Struthio camelus: one gene and its partner. The protein of the gene in region 1 purifies or fractionates together with the protein of each later gene. This does not show direct contact. Links are inferred from orthologs where the notes say so. Each region holds a gene or a part of one and is shown in the gene's direction. Other genes may lie near its edges.

Region 1 (6,889 bases):
ACAAAGTCTACTGGTAGAGGAGTAAACTTCGCTGGTGCTGGTTTCAAACAGTGTGTAGTGTGCTTGCAATGAAACCTCAAATTTCACAGCAGATGAAGCCTGCTGAGTAAAATACATGCATCTCCCCTGCTGCTTATATATCTGATTTTTTATAGTAATTCTTTTAAAATTTTTATTTATTTATTTTAAATAGTAACGCTTATTTTCCAGCTTGCTGCCACTGCTAGAAAAGGTGTGCTTTATCTGTGACCTTAAGCGTGGCATAGAGTCAAGAGGATCTGTTTCACATCTCATTCTGGGGCAGCTTCTGTTTTCTAAATCGTTGGGGTCTTTCCCTGGAAAGAAGAGATAGCTGAAAGAATCCACTGGCCTGTTAGACTGATACATAAATCTTTTTTGGCATGCTTACATTTCCCCATCACTTTCCCCCAAAATCCAGCATTTCCAGTGTTTCACCCGGTCTTTGAAGGTAAGTCAACTGTTGCAAGGTTTTGGGGAATGCTAGGGAAATTATCATTGCAGGACATTTTGTCTCAGTGAAGAAGGAATTGGGGCCAGCTTTATGTTCTAGATAGCTATTCAGGATATGTAGCTTCACCTGCTATAGGTCTTCTACTTAAAGATCTTGTTGCCTTATAGTTAGTTGCTCCACACTGGATAAGAAGGACCTGCATGAAATGGGGCTGTAGTCTGTTTTGCATATCCGTGGAACACTTGGAATATGATGATTTTTGGACTGTGTGTCTGATGTATGTTGGAAGAATGTACTGGAGAGAGATGAGTTTAGATGTTGTAAGGAGAGAGTAGCTGGGGATGTTCTACTGTGAATATTAGAAGATGAGGTAGTTTGATCTCTGACCAATGCTAGTTTAGGCTTTTATACTGTCTTGCATCTAATGTTTTTTCCTTACAGATATGATGCATTGCCTGTGTGCACAATCCTTGCATTTATAAATTTCTTACTCTGAGTATTCATGGAGTGCAGATGTTCATAAAACAGACATTCATGTCTTGAAAAATCCTCTAGCCTGTGGTGAATGGGAAGCTTTCCCAGGTAAGCTAGAGAACCAGTTTCTGAATAAATGAACCTTTCATCATTTAAGGAGGAAAAAAAAAATGCTCTGATTGATGCACAGAGTGCCTTCCAAACGTGAACACAGGGTAGACGAATGCAGGGCTGTCTCCTCTGCAGCCGAGCTCTCCTGCTTAAGCAATTGGAAGCTTCCTGCAGGAACTCATTGGAGCGGTGCAGGAAAAAAGGCATGGGATGTAATGATTTGTTGGTGTATGTGCAAACTGTTTGTCCAGTGAATACAAGGATCTGTTCAACCTGAAGCAGTATCAGTGCCTAATAGAGTTTTCACGATATAATGGGAGTTACTACTACTGCTAAATGTTTACGGATATGCATATGCAAATATCTGTATGTATCTCCTGTGCAGAACAAAGCATCTTGTCTCTGTGCCCCGTTTGTCAGAGCGGAGGTGAAGGATTGAAGTGATGTTGGCGAGGACAACACTGGTTAATCAGAATGGCTCCTGTGCACGAAAATATTTTGCTTATTATAAGACAGAGCGATAGATTGAATTGAAGTTACTCTTCTGAAACGTAAAATGAAAAAATGCCTCACAGCAACTCAGTGTTAAGAGTTGGGCTATGAAGTGGCAAATAACTTCTCACAAACTGTGGAGGTTGCAGCAATACATCTGTAGAGCCTGTATTAACTTGGGAGATGTAGAAGTGGAAGAGCTTTCTGCACACATGAATAAGGTGGTGGCTTTCAGGTGTAGAGGGTGTAATACTGGATCTGCAGATACTTCTGTTCAGGTAGGCAAGCTGCTTTAATACTGACTTGTCAGTTGGGACACTCTAGGTTTTAAAACAAAAGTTTGGATGAAATCTTTTGAACTGCAAAAGATGTCAGGGATGTGAACATATTTTCCTGAAAAATATAATGCCCTTAGTTTCAGTTACTGTATTTAAAATCGATGAAATTTGTGTTGGATTTGTGGATATTTGAGTGATCAATCTCTGCAATACAGCATTCTTAGCTTTTCTGTTCAAAGAAACTTTGGTTTAAATCTGATGTTCTTGAAGGTGGGCTTAGGTGTTAAAACTCTGATCTGCGTTCTGTTCCATGGAGCATGGCCTTGGAATTTAACCATGCTTTCTACAGCTCATTTTGGAGTAAACTCATATTTCAAGGTGTTTATATTTGAATTCATTGCAAGAGAGCTTCCAAAAATAATTTTGTGTTAGGTGAATGTATTGTGCTACTGCCTCCACTTCAAGTGATGAGGCTTCTCTAACAATGCTCAGTATTAACTTTTCCGTTTGCTTGTTTACTGCTGCTTTTATGTGAATTCCTTAAAAGGCTCTTGAAATGTATCTCTGGTTGTTCTTTTGGAGTTTGGGAAATCACAAGTGCTTTAGTAGAATGCTGAGATTTAATTAAACTCTGTAGGATGGCCTTCCAGCCTTAGCCAATTTCACTTCCTTTCTCTGGAACGACTCTTTCCTGCAATGTGGTTGCTAGGCTGCAATGTTCATGTTTTTTTCATCTCTTTTTCTCTGAGGAACCCTGTAGCCAGGAAAGCTGAGCTGCGCAAAGACCCAGCAACTTGTTACAGGGGACAGTCGTCCATGTCCATGCTTAACTGCAGGTGTTCACTTTGTGATAAAGACCACAAAGCTAACCTGCTATGTAGACAAATGAATTGTTACAACCAGTGTTGAAAACCTGCTATCCAGTGGTTGCATTTATTGCAGTCTGCTCCGCTCTGCAGTATGTACCTTGTATGCTTCTCTTCTGAGGTCTTGAAAAGCAGAATTGAGTTATCTTGGCTGTGGAAATAAAGTGAGCAGGAGGGAACTTCGAAAGAGACGGGATAGTCCTCTGACTGCATCAACTGGTTCTCTCTGCTTCAGTTGCAACAGATCTATATTCCATATTGCTCAACAGGCAGTGTTTAGGTAAGCATGGATTTTGCAATGCACAGCCAGCAAAATTAAACTGCAAATCACTAATGGGAAAACAAAGTGTATGGGTGTCATTGCCCCTTTGCGTGCCTGCTGCCCCCCTCCCCCTGCCTCCGGCTTCTAATTGTGGATGAAAAGTGAGTTTCAGGGCCCCAAGCTCTGAATATCTGCTAACTAAACTCCAGCCTCAGTTCTCTTCTTTAAGTTGTAATTAAATTTTAAAGTGGAGAAATGATAAGTAATCTTAGTGTAGTGGACACTCCTTATACTGTAGAATTATATTGGAGCTGCTGGGTCCTGCTCCAGTGAAGCTCTGAAAATCTAATTGATTTAAAACCTATGAGGAGTGTACTGGCTGATGCCAGCTAAACACACATATAAGTGTCTCATTTTAACAGCTTGACAGATTCATTTCTACCTGTTTATAGCAGGTTCCCAGACTTTGTTTGCTCAGATACCATAGTCAGGGTGATGTGGTGTAGCGGGTGGCAGTGGCCGTTGCAGGATGTCAGGCTGCCTGTGTATGCAGGAGATGTGTTTCCTGCCCTGTTCCTGGTATGGAGGTGGCAGTGGTGGTAGAGGCAGCTCCCTGCTCCTCAGTGAGCCTCAAGTGACAAATAAGTGCAGAAGGATTTTTTTTCTCTCTTCTGAAGACAGTTGCCTACATTTCATTTGTGTGCTAGACAGTTGCCTGCATTTCATTTGTGTGCTGTGCCTCAGTGATCGGTGATAAAATCATGAAGGTGAGTTTTGCCCCGAACGAGGCATACTTCTGACGGCACCGCATATGAAATAGTGCTGTACAACGCATGTGGTTTGCCATGGACCTTTGACCACCTCACCCCTTGATCTCTTCCCGGTAGTCAGCCTGTATTTCTGGTGCTCCCGACCTGAGCAGTGATCGCTGCAAGAACGTTCGGTCTCAAGCGGGGCTCCAGCTTCCAACTGCAAGCATGAATTTTCCACCGTCTCAAAAAGCAAAATGCTTCTTCTGACATTCACGGATTGGTCCGGTACTAGACTGTTTGAGGCCGATCTGTTTGCCACCCTTCAAAGCGATATGTTAGAATCCTACAGTGTTGAAAAGAGAGCGGTGGTTAATTTTGGGCACGCTGCATTTGCTTCCATGGCACAACATAGTTGTATCTTCTCTGCAGGGATGCAGAAAGGTAAGGATACGTTTTCGGGAAATAATAACCCAATGAAGTAGAAGTAATACATTTACAGGAAGTGGACTGTCCTTTTTGCAAACTTGGTATGCAGATTCTGTTTTCAGTAAGAAAATTCAAAAAGACTAGTGCAGATATGCTTAAGCCGGGATTTATAGTTAGTGAAATTGAGAAAAGTGGCTTTATGTTCTTTAAACTGCAGAAGAATAGCATGGAAACAGATTAGCATGCTGTTCTTCTGGCTGTATACAGCTGCATGCAAAAGCTTCAGCAGCTGTATTTTCTGAACATCTTTACAAAACTCACCTAGAGTTTCAAGTTAAAGACCTTGCAGCTGCTAGCATTTTTGCTGTTTGATAGCAGCTGCTGTATTGACAAGTACATTTTTATCATGGGAGATGCTAATGGAGTGGGAATGAGCAAGGAACAACTGTTTATATAATCCCGTGCTGTATAGATCAATTACCATGAAAACAAGCCGTTCAGTTGTCTGCAACAACATGCACCTTGAACTGTTTCATGCTATAAATAGTGGTAATGCTGAACAGCATTGTCTTCCAAGAAGTGTAAACCGAATTGCCTTTGTGTTCTTTTGGTGTAAGCACGGAAACGTGAAGCTGCTCGGTTAAGTCAAAGCAGTTCCCATAGCAGTGAAAAGAAAGTGTCATGATAATCTCTCTGCCCCTGTTCATTGCTACTACTACTACTAATTTCATGTATAAAATCATAACACCTCCCCTCTCCTTTCTTCCCCTAACTGCCAAATTAGTATTCAAGCACTATGAATGAGTTACCAGGCAGCAGTCTTCTAGATGTCTTGTAGAGACTAAAACGTTTTGTGCTTGTAGAAAATGCTTATCAGATTTATGCGAAACATTCCGAGTTAGTGATTGTTTCAGTTCTGATTAAAGCTGCATGTGTAAGAAACACGCTTGGAGTCAGCTCTAAAGATGCATATTGGCATGGCAGTCACAATACTTGCTATGTTTAAGCGGCTCGCTTTTCTTTACCAAAGGCAAGACTGTTGACGGTCGTGCAAAAAAACCCAAACAAACCGGTGCTAAGTTTCAGCTACACAAAGTACAGAAGAGTTGAGGTGTTGCAGCCTTGAACCACAGTATGTGTAGTGATACCTGTTTTTTCAGTTGCTTTGTCCTATTTTTCCTCTTAGTCTAGTGACTCATTTTACAGGCAATAAAGCTTTCTTTTTTTTTCCCGGGTCATACTGTGAGCTCTACTTTCATGATAACCTTTTTACAGCCAGGTAAAGATATTGATGACCATGTCAAGGACTCTAAAATAGATGTGCCTTTGCTTCCTTCCAGTAAATTGGACCATTTTCTTTACACCGCAGCTGGGATTTGGGAAGGTCTTACAGGAGCGTTCTCACTGGAGATGTTGGACAGGGGAGTCCTAGGTTGGTGTTTGCTGTGCTGTGGGATCATCTGTTCTGACAACTTCCCTCCCCAATGGCAAGTTAGCACAAACAACTTTTCTTCTCCTAATCATCATTTCTTACTCCTTCCTGTATTTCTTTTTCATGTTTGAAGTGTTTCTAAAGCAGAGGTTCCCTAAGGTCGGAGAGAAGAGCTCAAGCAAAATCTGTTAGGGGTTTTGATTTCAAACACCATTGTTGCTTTAAATTACAAAAAAAAAAAAAAATCCATACCTCTGATTTGATAATCCTAAATTATCCGTTTGGAACTCATGCAGAGGTGTGAGCATGGCTCCTTGTACTGGTATCTCTCTCATCTGTCATTTTGTTTGTTACTATTAGATATCGCACTTGGCAATAAATTATGTAGTTCTGTCCTTGCTGCTTAACAAGTTCTTGCCAATTCTTAGTGTTAGTTAAGGGGTAAAAAAAAAAGAAAAGAAAAAGAAAAAAGAAAAAACCCACCTCCCTTTTGAATATACTTTACGTATTTATGTCACATAAATGTTTTATTGACTTTCGTCTTTAAAAGTCTGCATTATTCACAAGTGGTAAAGCTGTAAGAGCTATCCTGGTCATTGCAAACAAGTGTCAATAAAACCTCCAACCACATTAGTTTGTGTGTGCTGTACTTTGCTGTACTTTCTTTCTTTCTTTTTCTTCTTTCCCCATAAATTTGAGCCCTTTCCAAAGAAGACAGGTACTTGGGAGAGGGGCAGGTAGCTATCACTGTGCAGGATTTAAAAAGAAGCGAATCTCAGCTAGAAAGGAGAACCTTTCTAAATGAACAAGACAGCTTTTTTTTCCCTACTTGTCATTAGAACCGTTTGTTTCTAAACAAGCCCGTTCCCACCGCCTTCATGCCAGGAAAACAAAACGAAACACTCAAAAACCAGATCCCCCAAACCTTGAGTTGTTCTGTGGCATGCATGTAAAGCCTGTAAACTTCTCTTGTTGCCAGTACCTAAATATTGCGAGTAAGCTCTTGGGCTGCCTTTTGGTTTGGAAAGGTGCTTTTAGACTTTTTTTTTTTTAATGTACAAAGAAACTATGTGTATGTGTAGCAGGATGCCAGTCTCATCTGGAAAACTGTGTTGAGGGAACTGAGAAGCACGGTTCAGATAGGCTCTGTTTAAGAGAACTATTTTTAAAGTGTATTCTTCAACTGTGTTAAACTTTTTTTTTTTGTTCAAGCCTTCATTTATATCCTGGAAAGAGCACTAATTCAAAATAAATACCAGAAAATACATCTCGGATGACATTATATCTTTTCTCTGCTAAAAAATGGCCAGTGTAAACATTTGAA
Region 2 (7,979 bases), on another chromosome or scaffold:
TTATTACTAGATGTGATGTCTAATGTTTTGTCATCTGCTCTTATGGCTTGTTTTGGGATTGACGTTGCAGTCTTCTGTAACACAGCTGCCAACGCCACAGTGATCGACTAAGTGATTGATCCTAGGTTATGTTCCACACAGCGAAGGTCTTAAGGTCACACTTAATTTGGGGCACATGTGTATTATGCTAACATGCAATCAGGATGCTCAGCATTTTCAGAACTACGTTGTGTCATACAAGTGCCATAAATATGATTATGTTCTTGATTCTCTGGTTTGGCCTGCCCATGCTCAGTTCATCATTGGACAGAGAGAGAGAGGTCAAAATAGACTGATTGTTGTAGTTCCCCAAACAGTTGGTATACTGTCATCTACTTTATGTATACTTCCCACTTTCCATTAACATATGCCTTATTCTTCTATTTCACTCTTGTAGAATAGTGCACCACCCCTTTCAGTGTTGTATGTTTTAAGCATTTTTAGAACAAGTCTTGCACTGTTGGGTGTTTTTCTATTGCTCCAACTTCTAGATTCATGTTATTAACACAGAATCTGCCAAAAAAATTTTCTGCCATTTATGACTATGAAGAAAAGATTTACAAGGGGAATCCTCACCATTGCGACATTAGAGGGTAAATGCAAAAATTTGTATTGCTTGTGGTTGGGAACGCTAAAAACTACCTCACCCACCCAAGGCTCGCTTACATCTTGTAGTATCTTCTGTGTGAGCTTTATGGAGCTTGTATCTGGCCGGAGTGCACTTCATTAGTCTCTTAAAAACCAGCATGCAAAATTTAGGGACTCTGCAAGGTTCCAAACGCATAAACCCTTTTTAATTACAAACAGTTATACCACCCACTTTCCCCACAGTTAGTTAAGGGAACTAGTTTTCATGGAGGTCAACAGAAAAAATAACCGCGACGTTTCTGGCTCATGCTGTTTTTATATTCACTGCAAGAAGGGGGGAAAAAAAGGAAAATGTAAGTTGTCATTTTTTTAGCCTTTACATCTCAAAAAAATATGTGTTGAATTTGCCTGAAATTATTCAAGGAAGACAAAATTCTTCTTCCTGATTCTGAAATGAGTTATACAGAAGTTGTGAGGAGGATTAATGGAAAGGGGCAAAGTCAATCCCGTCATGAAAAGCCAGTTTGTCCCTAACTATGGAGACTAACAACTTGCAGAGTTAACTTTTAGTTTGCACGTTGCAAACAAACAAAAAAATATATAATTTGCTTGAAAAAGGCCCAAAATTCTCTTAAACATTTGACACATTCAGATTTTTACTGCCAGAAAAGACAGGCCATACTTCCTCTTAAAAAAGTGATTGTAAGATGACAAGTAGGGCCACATTTTTTCCCTTCCCAAGGACAATATGGTCATTTGCTGCTTTAAGCTTTATTGAAATACATGGAATTCCAATAAGGCATAAGAGGTTGCAAACAGAGAGGGAAACGGGAGAACCCTACAGAAGGACTGAGAGCCGGGTTTGCAGTCTATCTGTATTAGAAAAGCAGAATATAAATCATTAAGAAAAAAATCCAGACTTTGGTATCTGTTTACGTTGTTTGTATAATGTGCATTTATTTCCCTGCGAGTCATGGAGAAGCCAACAGTTTTTCAGTCCTAACATGGCAGGTTTCTTATTAGCAATCAGAGTTTCTTTTTCTGGTGTTATTGGTATCCTTCACATTAGCAGTGCCCTGTTAATCTTTAGACTTCAGAAAACTTGGCATGTATTTTTTACATCTCATAGTGCGTGGTAAAAGTAATGACCCCCTTTTACACTGAAACCAAAAGATGCTGAGTGACTTTCTGAGGTCACGGAGCAAGTCAGCATCAAATCCTGAAATAGAACCCAAGAATCTCAGCTCTCAGTCCTCAGTTCGTACTAGAAAATACTGTGGGAAAAAAAGTAATATTCTGAAGATCGATTCTTTAATGTAATCATTTCCTATCCTGTCTTTCAAACTTCTGTGCTTACATTTGCGCCAGAGACTACAAACACTAAAAAAACATCAGTGCACGGTGCTGAAGTATTAAATGCTTTTGACAGATTTCAGGACACAAAGAATCTTCTTTTATCTAGGCCATAAATCAGTGGGATAGGGACGCAGTAGTTAAGCGAATCAAGGCAGTCCGCAGATTGTTATTTGAATATGAGTGTTGCAGTTACAGGGCCCGTTGCCGCATGAATACTTAATAAACTTGCAAATTTAAACTTAGTATTTATCATACTTTAAAAAAGCAAAGAATAGCTGGGCAAACAGTCAACTTATAACCAAAGTGAAAGTAAAGTGCTGCCAACAGACATTAGACCTTATTTTGCTCCCACTGAAAGGAGTGGAAGTTTGGGCAAAAGCTTAGGTAGAATTAGTTGCTTCAGTTTTGCAACTGGATGCACATTTTCATGAGTGAATTAACAACTCTGAGAAGGTAGTTTTTGGAAGGAGAATGGTGGCAAACCCTTAACTATAGTAATAATTGCTGACATAGCTGTAGTCACTCGCACTAAAAATACCCAATGCAATAACAAACCCGATGAACCCATTCATTTATTCCCTTTGCACAAAGGCTATTTACATATACAGAGAAGCTCAAAATAAGTTCAGTATTCATCATATTTACAGCACATTCCAGCCCAACAAACTGGCACCAAAACTGTTTATTTAGGAAACATCATCCAGGTTGGAATCTTTCAAATTTGACAATTATTTTTCATCTTGAGCATATGATGCTCACAACGGGAGAGTGCTGGGCCCAAGTTTTATAAATGTAACAGTAAACAAACACTGAGCTGTTTAAAACATTACCTTCCTGGCAAAAAGTAATATAATTATGGCTGTACTCATAGCATGGTTAAAAATGAAAAAGCTAAAAAATCAAAATTGCAGGAAAAGTAGCTGGACTAATGAAAATCTTATTTTATAAAGTTGATCTGAACGTGTTTGTTAGGACATATTTTGCAGTGCAAGCACATATTTTCTCTAACCTCCAACGATTCTCTAAAATCTTAAAATACGACCCATTTTGCAACCAGTGCTAAAATTCCGAGAAGTTCTGAAATAAAAACTGAGGAAAGCCGAGCAGCAGGGTTGCTCTCCACTTCAGCCAAATCTAAGCCAACGTTCCAGATTATATATATCATAACATAAATTACTATTTCTGAAAAATCCCATCCAGCCTTTATGCGAGTCCATAAACATTACTAGTAGTTTTATTAATTTGTCCATAACCATTTAAATAAAATTCTAGTGCTCTGAGCTGTGATCTGTTCCAGGCTGTAGTAAGTTCCTGTTAAATGTGTAAATGTTCAGCAGAAAGATATTTTTGCTAGGAGACCGAAAATCAGCTGTGCCAGATACCTGAAACTTTGTCAGGGCGTTCAGTGGAAAATTTTATTTCTACATTATAAATAACCATAGACTATTTTAAGTGACCTTACACTGGTAGCTTCCAATAACTCACTTTAGCTTATCCTAATTAACTTTTTATTTTATTTTAGTAGGAAGAGAGGCAACTGTAAAACTTTTAGTGCGACTAATTAAAACTGGAAATGGATCTTCTTGTTTGAAATAAAATAAATCAGAATAGTCAGGCTAATACAGTATTTGGATATAAGACAACCTCTGCTTTCTAACACCTTTCCCCTGCTCTCATGGAATGTATTTCCCCTCCAGCTAAAGTAGGGAAAAAAGCCAAAAAGCCATGATCATGAACCTTTTACCAAAATAATTATGGAAAAAAAAAAAAGATATTTTCGCTACTGGAAGCATAGCAAACCAGAGTTGCTGAACATCCCTGATGTTAGCCCCTGCAGGTGGAGGGTGGTTGTCCTTTTTGAAGCGCCTGCGAGCACTTCAGGGGACTAGTCAGACCCGTGGCGTTGCCGGAGGCGCGGGCGAGCTCCGGGGGGCTTTGCGCCGTCGCCCGCGCCCACTGCGCTTTCGCAAGCGGCGAGAAGACTTCCCCGTGCCCTCCAACATTTGGCGAGGAAAACAAACCAAAAAAAGCAACAAAAAAAAGGAAACAAGAAAGAACAACAACAACAACAACAGCAACCCAAAATGTAAATGACTGCCAGGCAATGGGTCGGGGGGCTGTTGTTCCGCCTTCCAGCCGTGGGAAAACCGCGGCGGGCAGACGTCGGTCGGTGTCCGCCGGCCGGGGATGCGCCCAGCGCGCCGGGGCAGGCGCGCTGCGCGCTGCGCGGAGCGCGAGCTCTCCCCTGCGACCGGATCGCGGAGCTCGTCGCTCGCTCGCTTCTTCCGCCCGCCGGCAGCGAGGCGGGAGCAGCGCTGCAGCCCGGCGGCCGAGCCGCCCGCGCCGGGGCAGCGCCGGGCCGAGGCGCGCAGGCTCCGCGGGCGCGCAGCCAGCTCCGCGGCGGCTCTGCCGCAACGGGGCTGCGGGCGCTCGGCTGCGCTTTAGGGTTTCACACGGGAGGCGGCGGGGCAGGCGGGGGCAAACCCGGCTTTTCGGGGGGGGGGGGTTGGGGGGGGCACCGTGCTGCGGTTATGTGTTTTAAAGGCTGTATAGCGAGGGCACATACCCCCCCCCCCCGAAACACACACACACACACACACACACACACACACACACACACACACACACACACACACGCTCTCACACACACACACACACACACGCTCACACACTCACAGCCGCCCCGAGTCACACGCAGGCGGCGAGCAAGGAGCACGCCCGCAGCGCCGACTTTTTACAAGAAGGTGGAAGCAGCAAGTCGAAGTAAAGCCTTAGAAATTAGAGGGAGGGTTGTGATAGGTTGTTATCTGCACTGGGAGGCGTTTACACTTTTTTACTATTGGGTATGTAAATTGTTTTTAATAAGATCTGCCCTTTTTCTTTTTTTTTTCCTTTTTTTTTTTTTTTTAAGGGAGAAAACAAACCAGACTCCCTTTACCTTAACAGTCTGAGGGGGGTTTTATAGCTTTCATTCATTCAAGGAAATGTCTTAGGCTTTAGACTACCGGAGACTTAGCGAAAAAAAAAAACCCTTTGGCACTAGATTTTTTTTTTTTTGCAAACAAGATTTTTCATGCTTTTTTTTTTTAACAAACAAGCAAAAAAGTGTTAATGGAAAAAACCCGGAGAGAAGTAGAGATCGGAGGCAATCTCCTGCTCTCCCCCCTCCCCTGCCCCCGTCCCCCCTCCCCGAGGGTGAGATCGACTTAAAGGAAAGTTTCTGCTCCTGTGGGGGATGCACATTGTTTTATTTATTTTGAAGGCTGCAGAAGGATGAGGACTGAAGCACCACGTGCTGCTGACTCTCATCAGCATAATGATCGCCTTAGCCAGAGAGTCCTGTATATATAAACCACAAAAACCTAATCATTAGAAATCCCAGCCTCCAAAAACCACATTCAGGACAAAAAAGCTGTGGCTTTTTTTTCGGCTCCTTCATCTTCCCCGACCTCAACTTCTCGGGACCCAAAAGAAGTTTGTTATTTTTTTTTAAATCCGATTTTCAGAAAGAAAAATAACTCAAACAACCCGACATTTTAATGATTTTTTGTTGCTGCTGTTGTTCATCAAGGGCGGAAAAAAAAGAAAGATTTTTGCTAGCCTATTCAACTCAACGGACTTGGATCCAGCAGCGACTTAATTAACAAGACCGGACTGCACCAAGGCTGCCTTTTCTCAGCATTTATTTGGGCATATTTTAAAAATCAGCCAAAAAAGGGGTTTTCCCCCCTCCTATCTATCCTCCCCGCTTTTTTTTTTTCCCCCTGGAGATCCGAAGTTCGAACTTTTCTTAACTCCTGATGCTCCCAAAGGAACCAGCTTAAATACGCTCTTTTAATTATTAGCTGGGTGACTTTCCGCCTCACTCGCGAAGCCCAGCAGCTTTCTTTTCCCGCTGAAATAACTTGGGGAGCGACTTCGCAGAGCCCCTTCCCAAAGCCCCTTCCCGAGCTCGGGCTTCCCGCTGCTTCCTGAAGCCAAAGGCAATAAGCGGGGGAGCCGAGCGGCTCCTCGCCACCTCCACTCTGTCCCGCCGAGGCTTTTTGGGGTTGCTCCTCTTCTCCTTTTCATTTTTGTTCGGTCTGTTTGGAGGAGGAAGACTTCTTCGGAGGAAATCGAGACATTTCCCCTTAGCACCCCCCCCCTCTCTCCGCGCTTGAAAGTTACGCTCCTCTTCTGGCGGCCGCACACAGCAGCAGCCCAGGAAGCTAAAGCAGCGGCTTTAGTTGACTTCTCCCAAGACAACCTTTGAAAATCCGAACAGAGGACGGGGAGGGAGGGGAAGAGGAGAGGAAAAAAAAAAAAAACAAGAGGAAAGAAATTCAAGCACTTGAGAGAAGAAGTGGTGGCTAGAAGGAGGGAAAAGAGCAGAGAGACTGTGCACGAAGGAAGGAAGGAAGGAGGAGGAGAAGCGGCGCTCTGCAGCTGTGCACAAGCCGGGACCATGCAGTCTCCAGCCGGGCTTTGCTAAGAGGGGCCGCCCGGCACCCCGCAGCCTCCCTCCGTGCCGCTCCCGGCTGCAGCGCCCCCCGCCCCGGCCAGCTTGCTTTAGGGGGAAAAAAAAAAGAAAACAAAACAGCAACCAACAACCAAACAGACTGAGTTGTTGTTTTTTTTTTTTTTTGCCTCGTGCATTTAATCTGCTGCTGCGGTTTTTTTTTTTTTTGGCCTATTTTGCCTTTTTTTTTTTTTTTGGTGCCCCTTATCCTCACCCCTCCACTTTTTCATTCACCCCTTTTTTGGCCTTTTTTTTTTTTTTTCCACAACCCCCACCCCCCACTACACGCCTCCTCGAGCGATCCCCCTGCCGCTCCCCCCCCCCCGCCCGCCCGCCCCCCAATTCGCTAACTTGTGGCTGTTGTGATGCGTATTCCCGTAGATCCCAGCACCAGCCGGAGGTTCAGCCCCCCCTCCAGCAGCCTGCAGCCCGGCAAGATGAGCGAGGTCAGCCCGGTGGTAGTAGCCCAGCAGCAGCAGCAGCAGCAGCAGCAGCAAGAGGCGGCGGCCGCCGTGCCCCGGCTGCGCCCCCACGACAACCGCACCATGGTGGAGATCATCGCTGACCACCCCGCCGAGCTGGTCCGCACCGACAGCCCCAACTTCCTGTGCTCCGTGCTGCCCTCGCACTGGCGCTGCAACAAGACCCTCCCGGTGGCCTTCAAGGTGAGCCCCCCCCCCCCGCGCCGCGCGTCCTCCTGCACAGCCGCCGCTGCCCCCCCCTCACCCCGTGCAATGCCTGCGGTGCCCCCCCCCCGGCCTGCTATGGCTCCTCTGCCCCCCCCCCCCCGCCGCCCCGTCCTGCAAAGTCTGCTGTGCCCCACGTCTTGCAATGCCTGCTCTACTCCCCTTGCAACGCCTGCTGTGACCCCCCCCCGCCCCCGTCCTGCAGCGGCTCCTCTGCCTCCCTCGCTGTCTTGCAATGCTCCTGTGCCCCCCTGGCCTGCAATCGCTCCTGTGCGCCCCCCCCTCTTCCCCACGCAGTGCCTGCTCTCACCCTCCGTCCTGCAATGCCTCCTGTGCCCCCCCTTGCAATGCCTCTGAGCCCCCCCCCGCAATGCCTGCTCTGTCCCCCTCGTCCTGCCAAGCCTCCTGTGACCCCCCCCGTCCTGCCAAGCCCCCTGTGCCCCCCCCGCAGTGCCCCCCCGCAAGGCCCGCCGCGCCTCGCCCCGCGCTGCCCGCGCCCCTCGGGGGGAGGGCGGGGGGGGGGCGATCCCGGTATTTGCGGTGCCGCCCCCCGCTGAACACCGCGCAGCGCCGGGCACCGGCCTCCCTGCGTGCTGGGGGCCTTTTTTTAGCGGCCCCCCTCCTCCCCAGAAGGAGGTATTCGTCCCCTTCTGGCCGTAGGGGGGCGAAATGGGTGCCCCCCCCACCCCGCTCTGGGCTTCCTGCTACCTGCACCCCAGGGCGCCCCGTCCTCCCAGCCCCGAGGGGTGGCCGGGGGGGGCCCGGGGCTGAGCCCTCTCCGGGGGGCCGGGCCCCTCGCCTCTCCGGCGGGC

What was found.
Region 2: the proteins of HDAC4 (region 1) and RUNX2 purify together in Homo sapiens (affinity purification with western blotting; 3 studies listed by BioGRID). This does not show direct contact. The link is inferred for Struthio camelus from reciprocal best matches to the Homo sapiens genes HDAC4 and RUNX2.

What each region holds. Positions count from the first base shown.
Region 1 is NC_090947.1:2,715,347-2,722,235, reverse strand, and holds the start of HDAC4 (histone deacetylase 4), read left to right. Parts: upstream 1-3,869; 5' UTR 3,870-3,961; coding exon 3,962-4,148; intron 4,149-6,889. UniProt on the Homo sapiens protein: Responsible for the deacetylation of lysine residues on the N-terminal part of the core histones (H2A, H2B, H3 and H4).
Region 2 is NC_090944.1:13,669,297-13,677,275, forward strand, and holds the start of RUNX2 (runt-related transcription factor 2), read left to right. Parts: upstream 1-4,957; 5' UTR 4,958-6,846; coding exon 6,847-7,146; intron 7,147-7,979. UniProt on the Homo sapiens protein: Transcription factor involved in osteoblastic differentiation and skeletal morphogenesis. Essential for the maturation of osteoblasts and both intramembranous and endochondral ossification.